Rhinolophus ferrumequinum: one gene and its partners. The protein of the gene in region 3 binds, or shares a complex with, the protein of the main gene of each other region. Links are inferred from orthologs where the notes say so. Each region holds a gene or a part of one and is shown on either strand. Other genes may lie near its edges.

Evidence for each region. The genes of interacting proteins can lie anywhere in the genome.
Region 1: MAP3K20 (region 3) and PKN1 share a complex: the UniProt entries of both Homo sapiens proteins name them as parts of the signaling complex. The link is inferred for Rhinolophus ferrumequinum from reciprocal best matches to the Homo sapiens genes MAP3K20 and PKN1.
Region 2: MAP3K20 (region 3) and AKAP13 share a complex: the UniProt entries of both Homo sapiens proteins name them as parts of the signaling complex. The link is inferred for Rhinolophus ferrumequinum from reciprocal best matches to the Homo sapiens genes MAP3K20 and AKAP13.

What each region holds. Positions count from the first base shown.
Region 1 is NC_046301.1:47,690,596-47,698,422, forward strand, and holds the start of PKN1 (serine/threonine-protein kinase N1), read right to left. Parts: upstream 3,239-7,827; 5' UTR 3,031-3,238; coding exon of another isoform or gene 3,010-3,030; intron 2,013-3,009; 5' UTR 2,005-2,012; coding exon 1,948-2,004; intron 1-1,947. UniProt on the Homo sapiens protein: PKC-related serine/threonine-protein kinase involved in various processes such as regulation of the intermediate filaments of the actin cytoskeleton, cell migration, tumor cell invasion and transcription regulation.
Region 2 is NC_046311.1:6,943,952-6,951,138, forward strand, and holds the start of AKAP13 (A-kinase anchor protein 13), read right to left. Parts: upstream 3,239-7,187; 5' UTR 3,212-3,238; coding exon 3,127-3,211; intron 1-3,126. UniProt on the Homo sapiens protein: Scaffold protein that plays an important role in assembling signaling complexes downstream of several types of G protein-coupled receptors.
Region 3 is NC_046291.1:51,787,307-51,795,521, forward strand, and holds the start of MAP3K20 (mitogen-activated protein kinase kinase kinase 20), read right to left. Parts: upstream 3,206-8,215; 5' UTR 2,596-3,205; intron 1,953-2,595; exon of another isoform or gene 1,826-1,952; intron 1-1,825. UniProt on the Homo sapiens protein: Stress-activated component of a protein kinase signal transduction cascade that promotes programmed cell death in response to various stress, such as ribosomal stress, osmotic shock and ionizing radiation.

The DNA.
Region 1 (7,827 bases), on a different chromosome or scaffold from region 3:
TGAACTTGAAGGCAGGCTCCCCCAAGTGTATACAAGCTCCTGGGGCTGACTCAGGGGTAAGCACACTCTCATATACCTACAAGCGTGTGCACAGAACACAGGTGTACATGAATATGCAAATGCCCAGGAGTGTTTACATGGGCCAGCCCCCTGCCTGCAGATACAGGCCGTCCCAACTTCCGGCTTCTTCTCTGGGTGCCACTGCTTCTGACCACAGCTTGGGGACCTAGGGTGCCAGGCTGGGTTAGGGACCTCCCTGAGACCCACACCATGACCCACAGCACTGGAGACCAGCAAACTAGCAGCCCTCTAAAGCTCAAGTATGACTAGTAATAACAGCAGTTACTCCAAACTGCATCCAGGTCAACTAATTAAGTCCACGAGGCGAGTGCTATTATCACCCCATTTTCAAGATGAGGAAACTGAGGCCCAGAACAGTGTCATAACTTGCCCCAAGGTCCTACAGCCAGCAAGAAGCAGAACCAGGATTTAAACAGGAGTGCCCAGAATCCAAGTGCAGGCTAGGTTGTCAGGCCCTCTCCTCAAATTGCAAGAACCCATTTCACAGATGAAGTAAGTCTTCCTTGCTCCTGACCAACCTTGAGGGCAGCTGCCCCCAGGGAGGGTTTACTGCAGGCCAAGGGCCTCACCTCCCCCAATCCTACCAACCCCTTACTTTAATGTTGAGCAGTTGCCATTATTCTCCCCTACTTTACAGGTGAGGAAACTGAGACTCAGAGAGGAAAAATAAGCAATTTTCAACACCTGCTCACCTCTGGGGACATTTGGCAAGATAAAGAAATATTTTTTGTTGTCACAACTGGGGGTGGGGAGGGGGTGCTATTGGCATCTAGTGGGTTGAGACCAGGGATGCTGCTCAAAAATCTACAGTGCACAGGACAGTCCCCACCTCAAAGAATGATTCAGCCCTGAATGTCAATAGTGTGGAGAAACCCTGGGTTGAAGGACACAAACTCACACCCTAGGCTGCTGACCATGACCACCAGTAAAGATTTCATGGCAGTCCTGCCTGCAGAGCACTTGCCGGGTCTACATCCTCACGACCATGAACACCCTCTTAGTCCCATTTTTTTGCTGTCAGAACTGAGGCTCAGAGAGGCAAAGGCACCGGGCCCAGGACACACAGTGAGGAAGTGACAGCGCTAGAATTTAAACCCAGGGTCTTCTAATACTACTCGCTCCCAACCAGGCCCTGCCCACTGCCCAGGCCCACCCCGTCCCCAGCAGGCAGAGCAGGGGTGTACAGCCAGGAGCAGGGCCAGCTCAAATGGGGGTCCAGGCAGAGAGGAGGAGCAGGCGCCTTCGGCTGCATCTCTAGCAGCTGAGGCCTGAGAATATGCCGAACACAGGATGGAGGGAAGCCTGGCCTCCTGGGTTTTCCTCCCTGGAGTGACTCACTCCTACCCAGGGGGCAGAGGTCACCAGTGGGCCAGCAGGATGAACCTATGAATCAGAGGCCTGGTCCAGCCTTGGAGAATCCCTGCTCCCCGCCACCTCTCACTGTGGAGCAGGAGACCCAGGTTCAGAGGGCCCACCTCCCAGAAACCCCCGTTTCCAAGTGCAGCCAGGGATCTAGACCCCCATGTCCGGAGATTTCAATGCTTTGGGCGTTTCCGGAATCTGGACAGGACATCCGCTTGCCGGACACAGAACAGACAGGCACACGTTGGGACAGAGGGACAGAGTGGCAAGCCCAAGCAGCCACAAGAAAGGAATAACCAGGACGGGAGAAGGGAGGGAAGAGGGTAAGAGATAGGAAGGAAAACCAGGGCACAGGTCCAGCCTCGTTCCAGGAATCACAGCCTCCATCAGGGTCAGGTCTGGTACATACCAAGCACATGCATGCACTGGGGGATTCCTACAAAGCCCTCCCATGACTGGGGGGAGAGAAAGGAACCCTGGCCCTCCCCAGCCCCAAGGTCTGACCTTGTGTGATCTGCAACACCAGATACGCCCAGCTCCTCGGCAAGGCTGGCAGGCCATCAGCAGGACTGGGGTGGGGTACAGGGGGACATGGGGGAGACAGAGGGGATGGAGAGCAGGTGCAGAAGGAGATGAGATCCCGGTTACACAGCACCACAGGACAATGGAGGGATAGTGAGGTACTAAGTGGGCACAGGACAGGTATCAGATTTGGGTCACTGAACCAAAGGTCAGAAGTCACCCTAGCCCTGCTTGTCATAGCCAGGGGAGATGAGTTTAGGACTGTAATGTCCACAAGGTGGCACAGGGAGAATCTGGCTGGGCGGCAGGTTTGCACCAGTCACCTGTACCTGTGTATGTGTATGTGTATGGGGGAGAAGGGGCTGACCCCGCGTGCCACCCATGCCCAGGTAGGATTCCAGGGCCGAGAGAATCCCCAGCCTATTGACCCAGACACTCCCCAACTGGGATCGGGTTCCACCTGACAGCCCGGAGGGTGGCCGTGTGGATCCCCCGTCCCCAGACCTAATGAGGTGACTCGGGCATTTCCGCCAACAGGTGCCAATCTGGGTGGCGTCGACCCTCATAAAGCTCAGTCTGGAGGCGGGGACCGCTGGAGCTTTGTTGTGCGGGGGAAGGGCACGGGCCGGGCGGCCTCCTCGCCTCCTGAGGCACCGTGCCAGGCACCTGCACCAGGTGGAACGGCACCTGCCGGGAACCGAACGCTGAGGGGGGGGCGAGTGTCGGGGGCAACAGGCACCGGGACGCACAACCAGCCTCAGAGACCCGAAGTCGCGCCTCCGCTGCGTCCCCCCGAATTGTCGGGGAGGGGCGGAGCTTCATGGTGCTCGGGGGATTCCGGGACCTCCCCGCTCCCCACCGTGAGTACCTCCACCTGCCGAGAAGTGGGCCGTGCTGGGGCTCCACGGTGCCGGCCCCGGGAAGGAGTACAGGGCGCTCCGGAGGCCCCCCCCCCGCCCTGGCGTCTGGGGACCCCAGAAGCGCGCGGGCGGGGTTCCCCGGTGACGGGCGGCCATGGAGCTTTGCGGACGCAGGTGCACCTACCTGCACAGCGTCGCTGGCCATGTCCTCTCGCCACCCGCCAGGGGTCCCCGCGCGGAGGGAGGGGCGGCTGGAGGAGCGCGCGTGCGCCCCGTGTGGGGCGTGGAGGGAGGGAAGGGGGCGGGCACGGCGAGACCCAGGCCCGGCGTGCGGGCCGCTCCGGCCTGCTAGGCTCCGACCCTGCCTGGCCTGGCCGCCGCGCCCGCGCGCCTCGCCCTCCGGCCCCAGCGGCCGCCGGGCCCGTCACGTGACCGCCGAGGTCGGCGCCCGGGGAGGGGGCGGGGCCAAGGGGCGGGTCTCCCAGCGGCCCCCGGGGCTGCGGGGTCCCGCCTGCCGGGCGGCCCCTCTCCGCAGCCACCAGTACCTCGTTTGCTCCCCGCGCCCTTCTGGATCCGCACTCTGTACAGAGGTACCCCAATTGAGAGCGCGGGAACCCGAAAAGAGTGAGCCCGGTTAAAGCAGGGAGTAGCGGAGGCATTTGGGCCTCCTGGGACCCCTCAAAAACCAATTTCTCTCTCTGTATTTGGAAACTCAGGCCCTCTAGACCCATTCGGCCTACGGGACCCGGGTTAAAGGGCACGGGAACTTCCCCATTGCCTATAGACAAGCTCTGGGTAGATCTGGGTTCAAATCCCAGCGCCTCATGCCTTGGGGGGAGCCCCAAACCCCTAAGAGCGCCTCGTCTATGAAACAGAATTTACCTGCTCACCCCTCAAGTGTTGATAAAATAAGATACTGCAGACCTAGTGCTCGATACGGTAAGCGCTCGATCAGTGTTAGCTGTCATTTTTATTATTGCCGTTATGAAAAGGAGGTTGAATAGCAACTCCATCACTGACTCGCTGTGGGCCACATGGATCCTGTGGCTGCTGAGCCTCAGTTTTCCTCGCTGTAAAATGGGGATCAGCCTCTTCTTTGGGCTGCTGTATGCAAATAGTGCTCCATAAATGCAGACTCCTGCTCCATAAATGCGGAGGCAGAGGGTGGAGGCCTCTCAAGGGTCTCCGAGAGTCTCTGGAGTGTGCAGCTTGGCTCGTGGCCCACCTCAAGACTCCCTTTCAAGCGGGTGACTGGACCAAACCGCAGTCCCTGGGGCGCGGGGCGGGAAGCGCTCCCTTGCGGCGTTGCCTGCACTCTGGCGCCCTCCTGGGATCCACCAAAGTGCAGGGAGCTGCGGGTTCCTTGGTGTCTCATGGCTGTGCGTGGTTTGCGTTGTCCCAGAGACCAGGGCACGATGTTTTCTCTTTCCCTTTTTCCTTTGTGCGACTCTTGGTGGAGGGGGTTAACAGAGAAATAAAGAGAAGGAGAAGGAGAAATTATACCAATCCAGAATCTGCCCATTTCTCTCCCCTCCCAAGGCCCCCACGGGATCCAATTGCAGTCTTCCTTCACCTGGACCAGTGCAGTCGCCTCCTCCCAAGTCTTTCAGCTCTGCCTTCAGCCTCATAGTCTGTTTTCCCCCACAACAGGCCAAGTGCCCCTGTGAACACCTGTGTCAACTCACATCCCTCCTCTGCCTAGAATCCTCTATGGCTCACACCTTCAGAGTAAAAGCCAAAGTCCTAAGCACGACCCCCTTCAACTTTCCCCTCTCCTCCCACCTCCCACTTACTTGCTCACTTCCTCCAGCCACATTGGCCTCCTGGCTGTTCCTTGAATATTTATAGATTCAATGAAATAACCCTTTTGACAGAGTTCTTTTGCTCCAAATTTACAGGTGAGGAAACTGAGGCTCAAAGAAAATACCCTAATCCCAGTTATGGAGCCAGGATGTTTATGGCCCTTGCCCTGAGGAATAGGGTGTCTTCCTCTAATTCTAGCCTTACCCATTTTACAGATGGGAGGATGTGGCAGAGTAAGGATCTGAGCCAGCCCAAGACTGGGCCACCCAGTCCAGGGATGGGCCCTCTGCTGCCTGCCAGGTTCCAGGCTGCCTTCCCGGATGGAGCTGGGGACACCTGCCAAATTCTCACTCCAACCTTCCGGCATTCGTTTACTCAGCGACTATTTATCAATGCCCGCTGGGGACATTGGTGGCACTGGAAACAGAGTCACCCTCCAGGCTTGAAACTTGGAGACGAAGGACTAATTGTACAATTTCAACCAGATATGATAACTGCAGCTGCTCTGGCTCCTCTCCAATCTGCTCTGGGGCCTTGGAAACCCTAAATCATACCCCGTCTCCTACCTCTACCTGCTGGAAAACCTGTTCCCAGCTGGCTGGAGCTCTTAGGAAAAACTTCCGAACCCTCACCTGGGCTACAAGGTGGTCCTGTCAGCTCTCTGCCTACCTGTCCAGCCACATCCCCACCACACCCCTCACCAACACACCGCCATTCAGCAACACTGGCCTTCTCTCTCTTCCCCAAATATTCTTACCTTCCAAACTCAGGGCCTTTGCACTGGCTGTTCCCTGGTTTGGAATGCCCTTCCATCACATCCTCAAGGCTGGCCTTTCTTTATCATTTAGATTTCTGTTTAAATGTCCCCTCCTCTGAGAACTTCCCAGAATACCTCCATGCCCTGTCATATCTGGCTCGTGGCCCTGTTTTATTTATTTTAAATGTAACTTTCTGAAATTGCCCAGTGTCTGGCCTATGCTCGTTCAGTCTTTGTGGAATGAGTGAGTGGACACAGTGTAAGATGTCAGGAGAAAGGTATTCCAGGCCTGTGGTGGCTTTGAGGAGGCAGCCACCCTACTGTGGAGGAGGCAGAAAGGATGGCAATGAAGTTAAGTTGTGAAAGACAAATTGGGAATTTTCAAAGTGGGTAAAGAGGAAAAGGGCGTCTGGTGGAAGGAACAGCAGAAGCAAAGGCCTAGAGGTGAGGGAGAACCTGGCATGTCCTGATTCCTCTGCCCTCATCACCCCTCACTCACTCCTCTCTGGCCTCACAGCCTCTTCACTGCTCCTCAAACATGCTTATTCCTGCCTCAAGGCCTTTATGCTGGCCATTTCTGCAATACTTCTCCTCATCTTGGCATTCTCTTCCTCCGTTCATTTCTATGTTTACTCAAATGTCTTCCCTGACTGCATCTCCACCTAAAACAAGCCCTACCCTCCCTACCAAACGCTACCCCTGGCATAACTTGATTTTTGTTGCAAATTTGACTCTAGTATTTTCTTTCTGATTTGTCTTGACCAGGAAGGTGTCAGCTCCCAGAGGCTAGGGATCATTATCTGTCTTGTTTACTGCTGGGTCTCTGGCTCCTAGTACAGAAAAGATGCTCAATAAAGAGCGGCTGGATGAACAAATGGGTGAATAAACCTGGCATCATAGGGCATGGCTAGGGTTTCTGGTGCTGATGAACCTGGAATGGAGGGCAGGCTCCAGATGTTGCAGATGGTGGATATGGAGTTCAGACTTGACCCTGAGAACTGTGGGAGCCACTGATAGATTCTTAGCAGGGGAGAAACTGAAAGAGGATTGTTTTTCCAAACATAAAGCTCTTTGCAAACCAAGTCTCCACCAGTAGGGGCCAAAGAAAGAAATGGGAGTAGATTTATCTGACACCAGAACTAAATGTGTCAACAGAGTCAAAAACACCTCCTTGAGTAGGATAAAAAAGCAAGTAGAAAAAATGATACAGTTTGAAACTGTTGATATCAATTACTAAAAAAAAAACACAGAATGTGAAACTATCAAGTCTGTGGTAATGTATGGAGTAGTGTGATTGTAGTGTGCCTGGCATCCCGGCTGAGGAGGGTCAGGCTACCTGGGTTCAAATCCTGGCACTACCACACACTAACAGTGAGACCCAGACCCAGTTACTTCACTGCTCTGTGCCTCAGTTTCTTCATCTGTAAAAGGGGATGATAATAGCAGCACCTACCGTGTTTCCCTGAAAATAAGACCTAGCCGGACCATCAGCTTTACTGCGTCTTTTGGAGCAAAAATTATTTTATAAAATAAGACTGGGTCTTATATTAATTTTTGCTCCAAAAGACGCAGAAGAGCTGATGGTCTGGCTAGGTCTTATTTTCGGGGAAACACGATGCCTCAGACGGTTGCTGAGAAGCTTAAATGAATTCTTATAAATCACAGAATTGGGGTGCTGTCATTGTTCAATCTCATTTTTATTGAGGATGTTTATGCGATTTGGGAGGGGAATGGAGTTGGGGAGGTGAACACAGGTGATTTCCACTTTAACTATAATGTGTTATGTCTTTTATTTTAATTATTATTTTGATTGAGGTACAGTTTACCTATGGTAAAGTACACAGATATTTTGGTGTGAGGCTCCGTGAATTTTTATATACGAGCAATACACCCGTGGCCATGACCTAGTCTACTCCCCAGCTACGTAAATTTTACTTGTGTCCTTTCTCAGGCTACCTTGTCCTTTGGATTCTACCATATCACCATAGATTAATTTTGCCTCTTCTTGAATTTCACACTGCATGGAATCATTTTATGATTTTATGTCTGGATTTTTCATGTCTGGATTCTTTCAACATGTTTTGTCTTCTATTGAAATAAAATTCACATACCATATAAATCACTCTTCTTAAGTGTGCCATCTAGTGATTTTTAGTAATTCACAATGAACATGATGTTTTTGAGATTTGTCCATCATGTCGTGTATATCATTAGCTTATTCCTTTTTATTTCTAGTGGTATCCCAGGGTGTGGATGCACCACAGTTTCTTTCTCCATTCACTTGTTGATGGACATTTGGGTTGTTTGCAGTTTGGGGCTATTATGCATAAAGAATATTCATTGCTCGTTATCTTTTTGTGGGCAAAAAGTATTTCATGTACTGTCAGATCTATACGTAGGATTGCTTAATTAATAGGTGCGTGCCTATTTAACCCAATGGGT
Region 2 (7,187 bases), on a different chromosome or scaffold from region 3:
TTTTGTAGTCACTTCTAGACATCAGAAAAGGATTGTTTTGTTTGTTAGTATTTCACTCAACCACTACTAACAGCTTTTCTTTCCAGTTTTTTTCTGAACAAGTGAAAAGCAAAAATAACAATCAATGCAAAGTAAACATTTTACTCTATAAACAATTCTTACTCCCATGTGGATTTCTTCTGCAACCAAGTCAAAAGTTCACTAGAATAAGAGAGAGGAAAATAATTCCTCTCTTATTTCCTTTAGGATTTCTTTTCCACACTTCCTAACGTTTAGGATTCTTCATCCTGATTCACCGATCCAAATATGTTAAGCTGATCATTGGAACCTGTGACCTTTGGTTGTTTTCTGTTTCGTTTGTTTGTTTGTTTTAATGCGCCTGGTTAGCAGGGAAAAGCTCCATTCTAGCCTGAGTTCTAATCGTCAGCCCCAACAAAACAATTGCCAGAAATAAATACAATTGATATAACGAGTAGCTAGCTTAAATCACTGCACAAAGTAGTTTAGTGATTAACAGAGTGGGTTAGGTTAATATAAAGAACTCTTTTTTTTTCTTAACTGTCCAGAGTCCAAACACCCACCTCCCTTTGCATTCATTACACTCCCAAGCCTTAGCCTGAATCACTAAGAAACAAATTTCTGCTGGGAAATGTCAATGAGGGTGGGAAAAAAATCGGGATTACTGGACAAACGTTTCATCCACCTTTCTGTTCCCAGGCAGAATACTATGGCAACTACATAAGCAACAGATTAGAATAAGTTATGCTACTTGATAAAGTGAGGGTGTCAGTGGGAGGTTCGGGCTGTCAAGAGGCCCCCACCCCCCACTGTCAAAACCATCTCCTAAAGGAAGGAGGAAGAACTAAGCACCAGAATCACAAATATCCTACACACACACACACACACACATTTTGTTTACATAAAAAGGAGAGTACAATTGATGCTTCTTACCTATTAACTCAATGCAAACAGTTTGATGATTTGAGATTTAAGGTTCCTTATAAGAAGACAGAGGTTTCTAAATACTGGTCCCAATGGCAGATACCTCTGCCCGTATCACCAGAACCTTATTTTATGGCTCCACTAACACAAAAAATTAGGAATATTGACACACCGTGAAAGGATCTTTGCTGAGTGCTAGTCCATTTTATGGAGGAAGAACCTAAATGGCCTGCCTGGTTATCCACAGCTAATTATTAAATGCTTAAAAAATTAAAATCCAATTGAAGGAATTTTCATTGTCAAAAATCCCAGCTCTCTTCTTATCTTTCTATTCCGCTAACAAATACCAAAGTTAAAACTAAGGCTCTCAAAGTTGAAAGCACAGCACAGAAAGGAGAAGAGAAACAAACCTTAATTTGAGCAAGACATAAGGGGATCTTGGAACTTCCAATTTTGAGAGAGAATAAAAGGGAGGCCACATGAGCCAGAAAAGAAAGAAAAGGAGAACTTGATCCTTTCTTCTTTTTAAAGCCTTTCAAATCATGAAAGTAAACACAGGTTAAGGATTTTAACTGAAAGATGCTTAAATTTCCCCCCCGATTTTCAGATCTATCACACACTCGCTGAGTGACACTGGACAAATTATTTGGGGAAGACAGAGAGAGGGGATACATTTTTAATACTATTTAAGTATCATTTTAATACTTCATAAAGCTTTGTGAAGTACAAGGCTGGCTTATAATAAATGCTCATCAAATATTAGCACCTAACTTTTTCCCTTCCTATGAGAAATGCAAGAAAACAGGCGTGAATCCATCACTAGATCCAAATATTGTTCCAAGGAACTACGCTGTCCAGAGTCCATACACAAAATTTAAAAGGTATTGCTGTGTCAAAGTCGGGATGGCAGTGATGAGGGAACAAAGGTTTTCCTTCATACTTCGTTAATTTCCAAAAGTTTCTATAATAAACATGTTTTGCTTTTATGGTTAGAAGTAACTGTTTGGAAAAAGAAAATGTTTTAAGAAGGGTTTCATCATTCTCATGTAGGAACTATTTTTACCAAATGTTCAAGTTAGCTTACACTATCCTAGACTTATCTGACCCGAACTGTGTGTTAAAATAAAATTTCATAATCACCGTCAGAGGGAGAAGATAACACAGCAACTTCTTAACTAAAACCAAGCTGCTTAAAACTCTACTCATTGTTTACTAAGACTCTGTGGACACCATTTTAACAGAATCGGAATCAAGCAACACAAACTCTGGTAACAAGACTTACTTACAATAAGGCCACGACCCAAGAGAAACCCCCTCCTTCTCTCCTCCTCCAACTCAATCAGAAAATAAAGCCTTCTGCTCATTAGTACATCCAAGACCGAGCAGTAAGATCTTCAAGGAAAAGCACCTTTAAGAGTCTTTTCAACAAAGGGCAGTGGAACAAGTGGGATACCCACATGCAAAAATAAATAAATGCTTAGCTCACACCGCTCCCAAAAATTCACCCCAAAATGGATTCAAGACGTAAATATAAGAGCTAAAACTTTCAGGAGAAAATCTTTGCGATCTTGGCTAAAGATCTGTTCGATGTGACATCAAAAGTATGATCCACAAAAGAAAATATGATAAACTAGACTTCATCGAAATTAAAAACTCTTCCTCTTCCAAAGACACCATGAAGGCAATGAAAAGACAAGCCAGAGATGAGGAGAAAATGTGTGCAAATCAAGTATTTGATAAAAGATTTGTATCCAGAATACATAGAGAATATATGGCTCTTATAACTGCTATAGCAGCTCCCTCTGTGACAGCCAGCTGCGTTGTTTACATTACTTTTTTTTTTTCAATTTTCCACCACAGTAAGTCCTCCCCAGACTTGTTCCTGGTTTTTGAATGGCCATCATTGCTTTGCTAGAGGCTAGGAAAAGAGATAACTAAGCTTCTTTAAATTGTCTACACGAAGAGAGTAATTAGGTGGCTCTGAGAAAGGAGTTTCCCTAGGAAGAGAAAAGCGTGTGAGCGCATGCGTGCACCACCACCCAGCTGACCGACTGCTCAGAATCTCCCCTCCCTTTGGTACCTGACTGACCTCAAGGTAAGTGAAAGTTGGTTAATTAAAGAAAAGGTTTACCTGTGAAATACTAAACAGAACAATTTCTCCCTCTGAGTACAAAGCTCTTTTACCTGTACGACAACTGCCTGTTGAAGACTGTATGTCAGCACTCTCTTCAGGGTCAAAGCCGGGTCCCTCCTGGGTAGTAGGATCCATGAGTTTATACCAGCGCCAGCAACAATAGCAGCAGCATTTCAGAGAACACGAATAAATTCCAGAAAAACAGAAATTGTATTTGAGCAAGTTTCACCTACAAAACACAAGTAAGCCCAACAATACCTACGGCGCTAAAGCTGTATAAACAAGGTGGCAGGTAACCTATACGCTGAGAACCAGCTAGTCGTGGTCCAAACAAAAGGCCACAGGGAGGAGATGACCGAGGTGTTTGCTTTGATGAGAAGGGCAGAGAGAGACCTCAGGACTGGTTCTTCTGGAAGCACAAACTGGTTCAGCCGAAGTCATTGCTAAATACATAAAGGATGGGCAGAGAACACTGTACACATGGGCAGCTTTGCTGGGTGTTCTTTTCCTTTCACAGGGAATTTCCAAATGCTTGCTCAACCAACCAGTGACAACCTGGTTTTAACGAAACCACCCAGACCTGGTCTAACACAAACATTCAGGTGGTTAGGAAGTTTAGTTAATAATACAAAGGGTTGATCGAGAAGTCCCAGAATCAGGTTCAGACCAAAACAAAGGCCAAGGAGCTTAAGAGCTGACCACCTAGTAGGCATTTCTAAGAGAGGTACAATCTCACTGCATTTTCCACTATAAATCAGAAAAGGGTAGGAAAACAAAAGTGCCCACTGCTGACCAAGACGTGACAAAACAAATACACATGGAATACTCACATATTCAGATCATAAGCATAAAACATAAAGTGGTGATAAGTATTTTCGATAAAATTAAACAAATTTAACAATATGCATTAAAGAAACTTGAAAATGTTCAAACTTTAAAAAAAATAATTTTACTTTATCGTAAGGAAATAATGAGGGGAAAATTTGTTTTGACCAAAAAATTAAATGTCTACTAATAGAGAATTAAATTTGATAGCTCCCAACAACAGAATTATGCTATCCCTTAAAATAACATTCAGAAACTATACAACATGAGAACACATTATTAAATGGAAAAAAATCTCAGAAAATAGTATATACCATAAATCTGATCTTAACTATGTATTTCTTAAACCAAAATGTCTACTATCTCTAGGTAATGGGATTACTTGCTCTCATGTATTTGCCAAATTTTATTTACCACATATAATTGGACGGTAGCAAGGGGAGGAGATTAATTCCACCCCCACCACCTTATGGAAATATGATAGCAAATGCTTTCAACCGTAAGAAACAAAACTGTCCAAAATCTGCCCAGAGACTCTCTCGATAGATTTCTGCTCTTTTAGAGTAACATGATTCTAAATAACAGAGATCAGACTGTGGCAACATTGGCAGGATCACAGATCATTTTTATTACTTTCTAATAGCGTAATCAAGTCCACTTTTGCAAAGGAAAGTGAGTGAAAATGTAGTTGTATAATGAGGCTTATATTCACCTAGGTCTTTTTTAGATAACGAAGTTTTTCCTGGTTTCTATATTGAAGTGAACTCTTAACAGGATCCTTCTAAACCTAGAACTTTTCCAGAATAGCAAAGACATCAACCGTAATCTCTGTATCAAGCAAACTGCTACTGAATGATGCCATGAGAAGGAATTCAACAGAAATCTCTCACATTTTACAAACCACTTCTACATCAAAAATATTCCCGCAATCGTCAAACTCAACCAAAAATTTTTTTAAGACTGGCAGAGGCATGAACAGAGCGCAAGGAGTTAGAAAAATAATGGCAGGGGGAAAGATAATCCAAAATAAATATGTGTTAGCTTGCATTTTCCCCCCTCACTAAAGGAAAAATGTATTTTCATAGCAGATAAAAAGTGGGTAATATTTTGCAGCCAAAATAAACTATAAAGTTAGGCTAAGCTAGGAATGAGGTTAGAATGAGTTGAGACAGCTAAAAGAGAAAGCTGTTTTCTATTGTTCTTAGACTAAAGTACATATTTTAATGAAAAGGAAGAAGAAAGAACTAATCTGGTATGTAACATTCAACAGTCAAAAACACAGAATCCCAGAAATAGAATCGGAAAGAGCCCCTCATCTAAACTGTCCCCCAATGACATTCAGAAGTCATTAGCAAAAAAGTATTTCTTTCGATTGAAGAACTTTTGGATTTTTTTCAAGTGCTCAGCTATTATTTCAGTCACTGTTATGATCAGATGATGACAAAGGATCATGGAATCTTCTATCTGGAAAAACTCTTAAATCGTCTGCTCCAGTTCATACGCTGAATCAGATACAACCCAAGAATGTCATTCTTGCTGTACTGTAAAAATGCAACACAAATTTAGTACAAAAGAACTGAAGATGCGGGTGACATCGTGCTGTGTCACTTTTCGGTTGGGGAAAGGTTATGAATATACATGACACTCTACAGAAAAGTCACCCACCCAAAAGTTGCCAATCATCTGCCTTTCTACTTCACTCCTTTTCCCTCTCTCTGACCTGATCACAATATATAAAAGTATGCTACTCCTTAAGCAGTTTTAAATAGTCTATGTTCATAATTTTAAAAATGGAAATTGAAACAGATAATCACTAACTAAATCATTTATCCAGGATATCCTACAAGGAAATTTTGCACAGTTCAGAGGACCTTAGTAAAAAAGTAGATGGTTTCCCACCCCGACCTTACACAGCAAGATAGGTTTCCTTGATGGGTTTTGTTCGAAAACTTAGGATGTGTTTAAACATTACAGAGAAGACTAAACAAAACAGAGTTTGGTTAAATAAATGTAATTTCTTAGAGTAATTTTTAAAGCATCTATTTCGTACACCAAACCCCAGATCTGTACAATTACACCAATCCTCCCTTCTGATCAATAACTGAGACTTGACAGCTCTTTCACCTGCATCCCTCCAACCAACACAAACACACAAGCGCATGCACAACTCCATCTCATATTTTTCAAGTTACATCTATCCTAAGGTGAGTCTGGCAAGAGAATGGGGTAATCAATTTCTTACTACCTACCTCACTTTCGTATCACCTACAAGCAAGAATATTTTGAATCATAAACTACTTTAAGATGTTTACAGAAACATTGCAGAACTTAAGACTGTTTATATCCCCAAAGTATATTTATGTTACTTACAGGCTGGACGTAGCAGACCTTAGGAATACCAACGCAAGTCTGCGTTAACACTGAAGGACAAACTGACCAGCACCTCGTCACGGGACCATCTGCACCTCGGAGCTCTGCTCTAATTATCGAAGCTCTAAACTTAATACGACTGTGATCTTCCTGTTGGCTCACAATAGGAAGGCAACACTTGAAGCTGACCATGTGCAAGATACCCTGCGAGGAACTTAACATTGTCTTACTTCGTCCTCACGTTCTCTTTTGAGGAAGGTGCTAGTACTGCCTGTGTTTTACAGGTGAGGAAACGGTGGGAAGGTGATTTGCTGGGGTCACAGAGCTGACAGAGCTAAGGTATGAGTGTGAAGGGTCCAGCTCGCAGCCTAAGTAAGCTCTTCTTCACTGTACTGGCATAACCAGAGGTATTTTAGATTTTCCAGATACTCCTGGTTCCTGAATTGATAACAAACACACTTCTGAACAATGTTACTGTGCTAGGCTGAGCATGAGTCCCTTCACCATCAGTATGAACGGCTGGGAAGTAACACGTTCAGGGTTATTCCAATGCCCGGAATCACAGCCCCCAGTGATTATAAAAAACGCTAAGTCGTCACTGACTATGACCTTTACCTGTCAGTGTCACCGGGAGAACCCATTTGAAGAAGTACAGGTGTTTACCAATATGAGAAGGAAGAGAAAACTGATGGTGAGTATCTGGCCTAGTCCAGATGCAGTTCAAGTAAAGGTGGTGAAGGCGGATGTGGATTTGTATATGGGCCGTTTAATTTGTTAGCTCTATGACCTAAGGCAAGTATTTACACCCTCAAAAGCTCCCTTTTCTCATAGGCAAGATATGGTAACAATAGTCCCACTCACATAGGTATTATTATGAATATTACACTAATAGTGTAAAGCCATCAAGCATAATGCC
Region 3 (8,215 bases):
ATCGATGCTTCAGCTGTCCATAGGAGGGTCTGACACAAAAGCACCCATGTATCAGTCAAACCAATCTAAACTCTAGCATTTATAGCTCTCTTTCCTTCACAGGTACTTCTGGTCACAGCTGGAACTCTGCTTATTTGTGTGTAGCGGGCCAAGGTTAATAGCCACAAAAGAAGTAACCTAAATCTTCCCTGCAGTAAGACCAAAAGGTGCCTAAGCTGTTCCTATTATTTAGATAGAAAAGACACCCTCCCTATCAATCTGTCCTGGGTAAAATAAAATGGAAAACAAATGATCCAAATTGATTTCTATTTCCAACATCTCTGGATACAGATACAAGGCTATCTTATTCCAAGAAGTATTATATCGCCAAAAACACCTTTTCCTGGTGTTTTTTTTTAAACTCATTGATTCTCTCCTCTTTTCTCTGAATCTATTAATTTTTTAAAAATCAACTGTCCATTTTTCTCTTTCAATCCACACTAATAACTTCATTCTGCATCTGACCTCTTTTCATGAAACATCATTGTAATTTCTCCAGTGTTTTCTCTGATGACTAGGTTATTCACTCCACGCCCCTCATAACTCTGTTTATAATTTTGTAGCCCTATCAGTCAGTTTCACTGCTCATTCCAGATAGGCACTCAGCCAATATATTGCCAATAACACTCACTCTTGTGCTAATTTAAAATACACAGCGCAGCTTGCCAAGTTTCCTTATTTGGCAAGAAGGTCCCTTGGTTCCCAAGATCTTTAACCATCCATTTTTAGATCCAAATCCTTGTGCTTAATATTTGGTTATTTTTCTCTCTCTCTCTTCCTCCTCCCTCCCTCCCTCCCTATCTCTCTCTCTCTCTCTCTCTCTCTCTCTCTCTCTCTCTCTCTCTCTCTGTCTCCCCCTGCCTCCCTCTCTTTAATATGTCCTTACGTGTTCCCTAACAGATTAAAAAAAAGGAGATCAACCACCTATTTGCTTTCTTGTACAAGAAAAAAATATGCTTGCCATTACATTATGGTCATTTACTCTAGAATTATTAGCACTAAAACTTTGATTTAAACAGTATTTTCCAATTAAAAAAAAACTCCCAAAAAGTTACAGTAGTAATTAAGTTGTTTAAGAGTAAAATAAACAGTATGCATTGCTCTAAAAGACCACTTTTCTTTATCTTAATTCCCTCTTTCCAAACAAACTGAATTCATATGCATTTACAATCTCCCAAATCCCTCACTATTGTAGCAGGGCTTTAAAACAAAGGCTCTACAAATGACCAAAATCATAATTAAAATGCGCCATCACATTATTTTTTTGAAAATCAAAAACCATGAAATGTCGCTGTGGAGATGGGCCTATTACAAAGAAGACGTTAATTGTCTTGAATCACCTGTTTATTTTTGTCTTTAAATGTGTTGTAGATTTGGATCCATGAATCCTGGCTGTTCAATTCAACCGAGTTCAGGAAAGCAAGAAGGCTCTCCTAGAACAGCTTTAAGTTTAAAATATGAATATACTTTAACAATCAGCTCAAATATCCTCGAATTAATTGTAAGTCGATTCTAATACAACATTATTGCTGAGAGAGCTGCTTATTGCAGTATCACTTGGAATGAGCCACTAAATGGTGTTGCTTTCATTATTAAAGAAACTAACAAAAATAGTAATTAAGTTCTCCATAAACAGTGCTTTTGAAGACGGTCTCAAGGCGCATCAGCCGCATCAGAAACATACATTTTCAGCACTCTAACAATGATTGCCCCCTCCTTTTCTTTTCTTTTTTTTGGCAATTCGATATCATCTCGCCAGTTTTGCATTAAAGTTTTTCTGCAAGCTGTCAGGAGCAAGCGAGGTGAGGCGGCGGCCTTGGCATTTCCGTCCGGGCCTGTTGCTGGTCTCAGAGCCCACGAGCCCGTGGACGCCACAGGGTCGGCAAAGGGGAGACCCTCGGCTCCCGTGGCAGGTAAAAGGGGATGCTGGGGGTGCGGGTGGGCGCGAGCTCCCCGATGACGAGGGCAGGGTGGGAGCCCTCGCGCCCGGCCCTGCAGAAAAGCAGAAGTTCACGGTCCCCCTCGCACGCTGGGAAGTACCCTGCACCCTGCCCTGATTTGGGAGACTCGCGTTTGCCTCCCGAGAGGTGGCCCGGTCACCCATTGCGAGGCCGGCGCTCCGGAGCTGCTCTCCTGGGGTCGTGGGCTCGGTGGGCGGGGGCTCCGCGTTCGGGGGGGAAGCGGCGGTCCCGGAGGCGCCCCGAGCCTGCGCCGCGCTCCCAGGGCTGAGAAAGCCGGGGACGCTCCGGGCTGCGCCCCGCTCTTTCTGGTGCCAACTTCTGCGTGGGACCGGCCCGAACTTCCCGAGCCGCTCGTGGCCGAGCCACGGCTGAGATCAGGCGCCAACCCCGTGGGAGCCCGGGACGCTCGCTCCGGCCGCCGCCGCCCGGGCGGGCCCCAGTTCGGGAAGGGGAACCCAATGTGGCTCTGGACGGCCGGCTGGGCTCCCGGGCCCCGACCCCAGCTGGGCCTCGGCCCCGAGACGCCCGGACGGCTCGCAAGCGCGGCGGGCCTCCCTCGCAGCCTCTCCCTCCGCGGCCTCTGGCCGGCCCTTACCTGGCTCCCGGGCCGGGCGCGAGAAGCAGCCGGGGGCGCACAGGCCCCGCGCGCGGCGAGGGCAGGAGCGGCGGCGGGGGGTCGAGAGGACAGCGGCTCGCGCGGCTTCCACGCTTCCGCCAGAGTCAGGAGTTGAACATTCCGCCTCTGCGTCCCGCGCCAATGAGGAAGACAGTCACGGCAACAGCACCACCTACCTCCGAGCGCGGAACGACCGGGCCTGCCCGTACGCCCGGGGCCCGGCCGCAGCGCAGACGCGGGGGCCAGCCGGCGTGGGGCGGCGCCTGGGACTCCCGGACCTGCACCCTGAGGGGCACCATTGCTCCCGACGCCCTGGAACCCGTCAGGCCGCCGGCCGCCGCCGGTGGTCGCTCAGCGGGGGCCACCTGCCCTATTGTGTGGGCACGCGGAGGGGGACCTGTGCCTCTGCAACCCTTTGTACCTTCACATCTTTTTAGCAAGTTACCACCACCTATCCCGTCAACTCAGTCCTTATCAAGAAACATTTCCTGTGAAATAGGCGCAGGAAATACAAGGGATAGGAGGCTGCTTTGTGGCCTTGCGGGACTTAATTATCTAGTTAGGAAGGGGACAGACCTGGAAAGATATTTCTGAGGATATAGGGCTGAAGGCTGCCTCAGGGGAACCATCGGTAGATACCTACGGAATTTGAGGAGGGTCTGCTGCCCTGGTTGGTGATTTTAACAAAGCTGAATTCAGATGAGGACGCTAGAATTCGTTCCACGTGTGAGCAAAAGGTGGAACTAGGTATCGAGAAGAAAAGTAATTGTTGATTGGAAGGGATGGTTCTGTGGAGGAAAAGTGAGACGAGGTTGCAAAGGTATGGGCAACATTATTCAGGGGGTTGAGTTTGGATGTTGTCATCTATGGACGCTGGGGAGACGTGGAAAGCTAGAACCAAAAGGATCAAATAGGTCTTTGCGTTTTTATTTTAATGGTTATTGAGAGAGAGAGAGCACGCGCGCAGTCCACACGGTTGTAGGATGGTTGCCAGGGCCAAACTGGGAAGCAGCATGAGTTGGACATATTGTCACTACCTAGAAATGAGATCGTGAGGCCTTGAACGAGAGTGTACAAAATAGAATTAGAAAAGAAGGAATTGAATTGAGAGACATGTTTCAGGAAGCCAAGAAATTGGTAACCTATTAGATGTGGAAGACAAGAAGGAAAGAGTCCCAGATGCTGCCACGATTTCACACCGGGATGACTGAAAGAACGATGCTGTCATTGACAGAAATAGGGACATGTGGAGTGGAAGTTGGCTTCCTGCTGACGTGAGGTCATGGGAGGAAAAACAGGTAGAGATGCAGCAGTTGAAATATGAAACTGAGGTTCAGAAAAGAGGTCGGGAGGGAGAGATGAATTGTAAATCATTCACATATTTAAAGATATGAGAGTGGAGGGATGGGTGAATACAGGTAAAAAAAAAAAACACCAGCTTTCTAGTTTGTTATTCAGATTAATTATTGAATTTTCCCTTTGATACGGACTAGAAATTTTAGCATTGATAGATTCTATTTTGGTAACAGAGAAATTAGGATAAATGAAAACTGTCATGCTAAAAAATTTCCTGATGTGGGTAACCAATTATTCTAAAAACCATTTAAACATTAAAGGGAAAACTAAGGTTCTTTAACACAGACTTAGGCATAAGGTGACTCAGGTCGTTTTACCTCACCTTCAAAGACACTACATTGTAATAGAAAGGACACTAGACTGGTGGTCAGAGGACCTGGCTTGTGGCCCTAATCCTGCTGCTCATGAGCTGGGTACTTTGCTAAACAGGCCTCAGTTTTCTCCTCTGCAAAATAAGAGGCCCCAATTAGATGTTACCTACAGTTCCAGCTTTAAAACTATGCATGTATTGCTTTAAATTTGGAGCACATCTCTTAAGAGTCAATATTTTTAGCCACATGCCCCTTCCTTCCCATGCATTTTTTTCTTCATTCTATTTTCCCCTCATAATTAGGCTAAGAGAATAACCATCAGGAACAATGAACACCAAAGAGGAGTCTCACAAATATGCTTAAATAGGCTGGTAGGCATTTTCTTGCCTTCCCAATTATGCTGCATGCTCCTTGAGGTTATCTTATATTCCACTGTATCTGTCCACAGCTGAAATAAATAATTGTGTGATAAATTGATTACCTCAAGTAAGACTCTTCCTTGGTCAAGCTGCCTGTTTCCTTATGACTACACTGACCTCCAGGCCCCAGACCTAATGCTATAGCCTGGTGCTTATTCCCATGGCTGACTCGGCTTTTTCAAACTCAAATCTTTTTGAAAGCATATCGATTAATTCTCACCTGTATAGTTTACAAATGTAAATAGCAATAGCAAAAGAGACCTAGTCAAACTTTTCTTATCAAGCCTTTCTATTCCTTTATTTCAAATGTCTCTACACTAAAGATAGATACACTCTCAGGAGCGGGGTGGCTGGGGAGTCCTTCGCATCCACTTATATCCAAGAGCACCCTCCGAAATGAACATGCAATGAGGGTAAAAATAGTGAATTTTCTGTACAAATTTAACTTAAAGAAAAAGTCTCCTAGTCTCCCATTCAATTAGATTGTTGTCCTTAAGCTCCTCTTAAATAGAAATTCTGGAACTGCCACCAGCTATCAGTGGATCAGAGAAGTGCAGACATAAATTCTATTAAGGATAGAAGGAAAGGCAACTTAAAAGGAAGCAAGCATTCTGAATATCCTTCCCCCACCTTATAGTGATAAGAACTATGGTGAGAGCTGGTATCCAGGAGCATTTTGTCTAGCCATCTCATTCCTCAATCTTAGATTGTGAGTAGTCTGTGTCTGGATCATATCTAAGAATTCACCACCTTTTATACAAAGGTTGGTGCTTTACCTCCTGCACAACTCTGAATCCCTGGGAAATTAAAGCACACAATCAAACATCAGTTGAGATATGTAGCCGTTACCTTAAAATCACAAATGAAGCCCATACCATTGTTTGAGCTTAGTTTTCACATCTAACTTGGGGACCGAAGAATTCACAACATTTTGGGTACCAAATTTGCTTAGGTGTTGTAGGGCACGAAAGGAGCAGTGGGGCAAGAAGAGAAATTGGGGACTTTTGCAAACTTTATTCAACAAACATTTTCTGAATGGCAGGCATGGTGCTAAGCTTTGTGATTGTAACAGTGACCCAGATGGGTCCTTACTGTCACAGAGTTTTCAGAGTGTAATGGGAAAGCCAGAAAAGACACACACAATTATACTCCAATGTACTCTGAAAGCGGCAAAATGGGGGCTTACACCAGGGCAACTAAAAGTTTTGGGAGGTCAATGAATGTTTCCAAGACAAAGAACTTCCAAGTCCCTGGGAGAAGAATGAAGAGAATTTGGCTAGACAAAAAGGAGGGAAAGGTATTGCTGCAAGAACAAGAAGTACAAAGGCCCAAGAGCATTTAACAGGTTCAAGGAATAAATCCCTTCAACATCTGAGTAAAGACGTTGCCAGGAGGGAGTAATAATTCTCAGGGTGGTAGTAACAGCAGCAGTAACAATAATAATAATATTACTACTAATAATAATGATTGTTAATGTTTACTGAGTGCTCAGGTGCCATGCACTGAGCTAAGAATTTTACACTCATGGTCCCTCTTCATTATGAACACTCCATTAGATTATACCAATACATAATCGTGTGTCTTTATTAGTCATTCCTTTCTCTTCAGTATGTTGTTTTTGTTTGTTTGTTTGTTTGTTTTGTTAACTGATATGCCTCATCTCTATGTTTTCTTCATTCTGCTTGTCTCCAAAATGTCTACAACTAAGCAATATAGTTCTTCTGGTCCATCTAGAGAGGGGATAGCGGAGTAAAGGAGTGACTACTTCCCAGTAGCTGGCCAAGGCCCTCTTAAGAATGGATTAACCAGTCCATAATAGTTAGAAAATCCTGATCAAATTTCAAAGTCACTTTTCTATCCGTACTTCTTTTGTATTATTCTTACTCAAGTTGAAATTTTTCCAATGAATACTTGTATAAGTTCTATTTGCTTTTTTATATTTTGCTACCATTGGCTTTTCCCTAACTTTTTAAGGTTCGTTTGTATTAAGCTGCTGTCTGCATTGTTGTTTGTAACACCTTCCAATTTAGTATCATCTGCAAATTTCATTAACATGCTATTTACTCCCTCTTCCAGATCATTAATAAATGCTATTTCTTATGTATTAAATTTTGCGGTCGAATAGATTTAATTTATTGTTGTAATTTCAATGCATGTTTTTTAAAAGATACAATGCAGTTAAGAATGGTCTTAACATAGGCTTAAATCCATACCCAGTTTATAGTTATTTTACTATTATGCAATCCATTTGTGTTCTCTAATCAGCACTGTTGTGAGCTTCATTGAAGCAATAATCTATTGATTTTCTCTTCCCTCTTTTTCAATACAGTCATCATCTTGGCTTTAAATGCACAGCAATAGCAGAGTTAGAACTATTGTTGTACTCTAATCCATAGTTATTTATAAAAGGAAATCAAGTCTTTTTTCTCAGTGGCTATTCTTCCACTGATATAAGAAATATTTTACATTAAAATTATTTTATAATGAGAATATTTGATTTGCCTATGCACGGTCTCAATGTTCTAAACAGAAATAGATTTTAGATTTTTTTTCCCCTTCTTCCACCTCCCCCTCCCCCCACTCCTGTTCAAGCCGTTGTTTCTCAGTCTAGTTGTGTAGGACACAGCTCCCTGGCCCGTGCTGTTATGAGCCTTGCACTCCCCCTCTCCCCCAGGCAGTCGGTTGCCAGTGATCGGTGGGCTGCTCACAGCAGCTCATGCCGGCTGCCGGCCAGCTCATGGCAGCACAGGGTAGCCCACAGCAGCCCACAGCAGCCCAGCTCCAGGGAGAGCCGTTGTTCACAATCTTAGCTGTAGAGGGTGCAGCTCACAGACCCATGTGGGAATCGAACCAGTGAACTCAGTGTTAGGAGCACGGCACTCCAACCACCTGAGTCATCCGGCCGGCCCTAGATCTTTTTTAAAGCAAGTAAATGTAATATGTATATTACATTCATATATTATATATATATATATATATATATATTTTATTGTGTATTTTGTTTTCTAATAAATCTGCTCACTGACTCCCTGACTCCTAGAGAATCTGGGGTGACTTTGTTTTTTTTATACTAGACTTAGACATGCTACCTTCAAAGCAGAGAATGAGATTCATTAAGCCATTGCTTCACTTTATGTCACATATCATCCTACTTACCAGGCCTCTATAGTGCCAGTTTTCATTTTCAATGAGATGAGCTTTCTTACATGCCACTTATTTCTGTACTTATGTTCATAGATTGCATTTTTAAATCATTTTGCATGAGATTAGTCTTCATGTTTCTACATAATATTTCCAGGAGCTGTATTTTCTTTCCCCTCATTATTAATACCTCTATCTCTTTCCCCCCTATAATGTTAACTGAGTATATGCCCTTGGTAAGCTTTCTTTTCCACATTGAGAAATTTATTTAACCTCTAAATCTCAGTTTTCCCATCTGTGCATTGTCCCCTCATAACTTACCTACCCATCTCAGAGGATTGTTGTCAAGTTCAAATGAGATCATTTATGCCA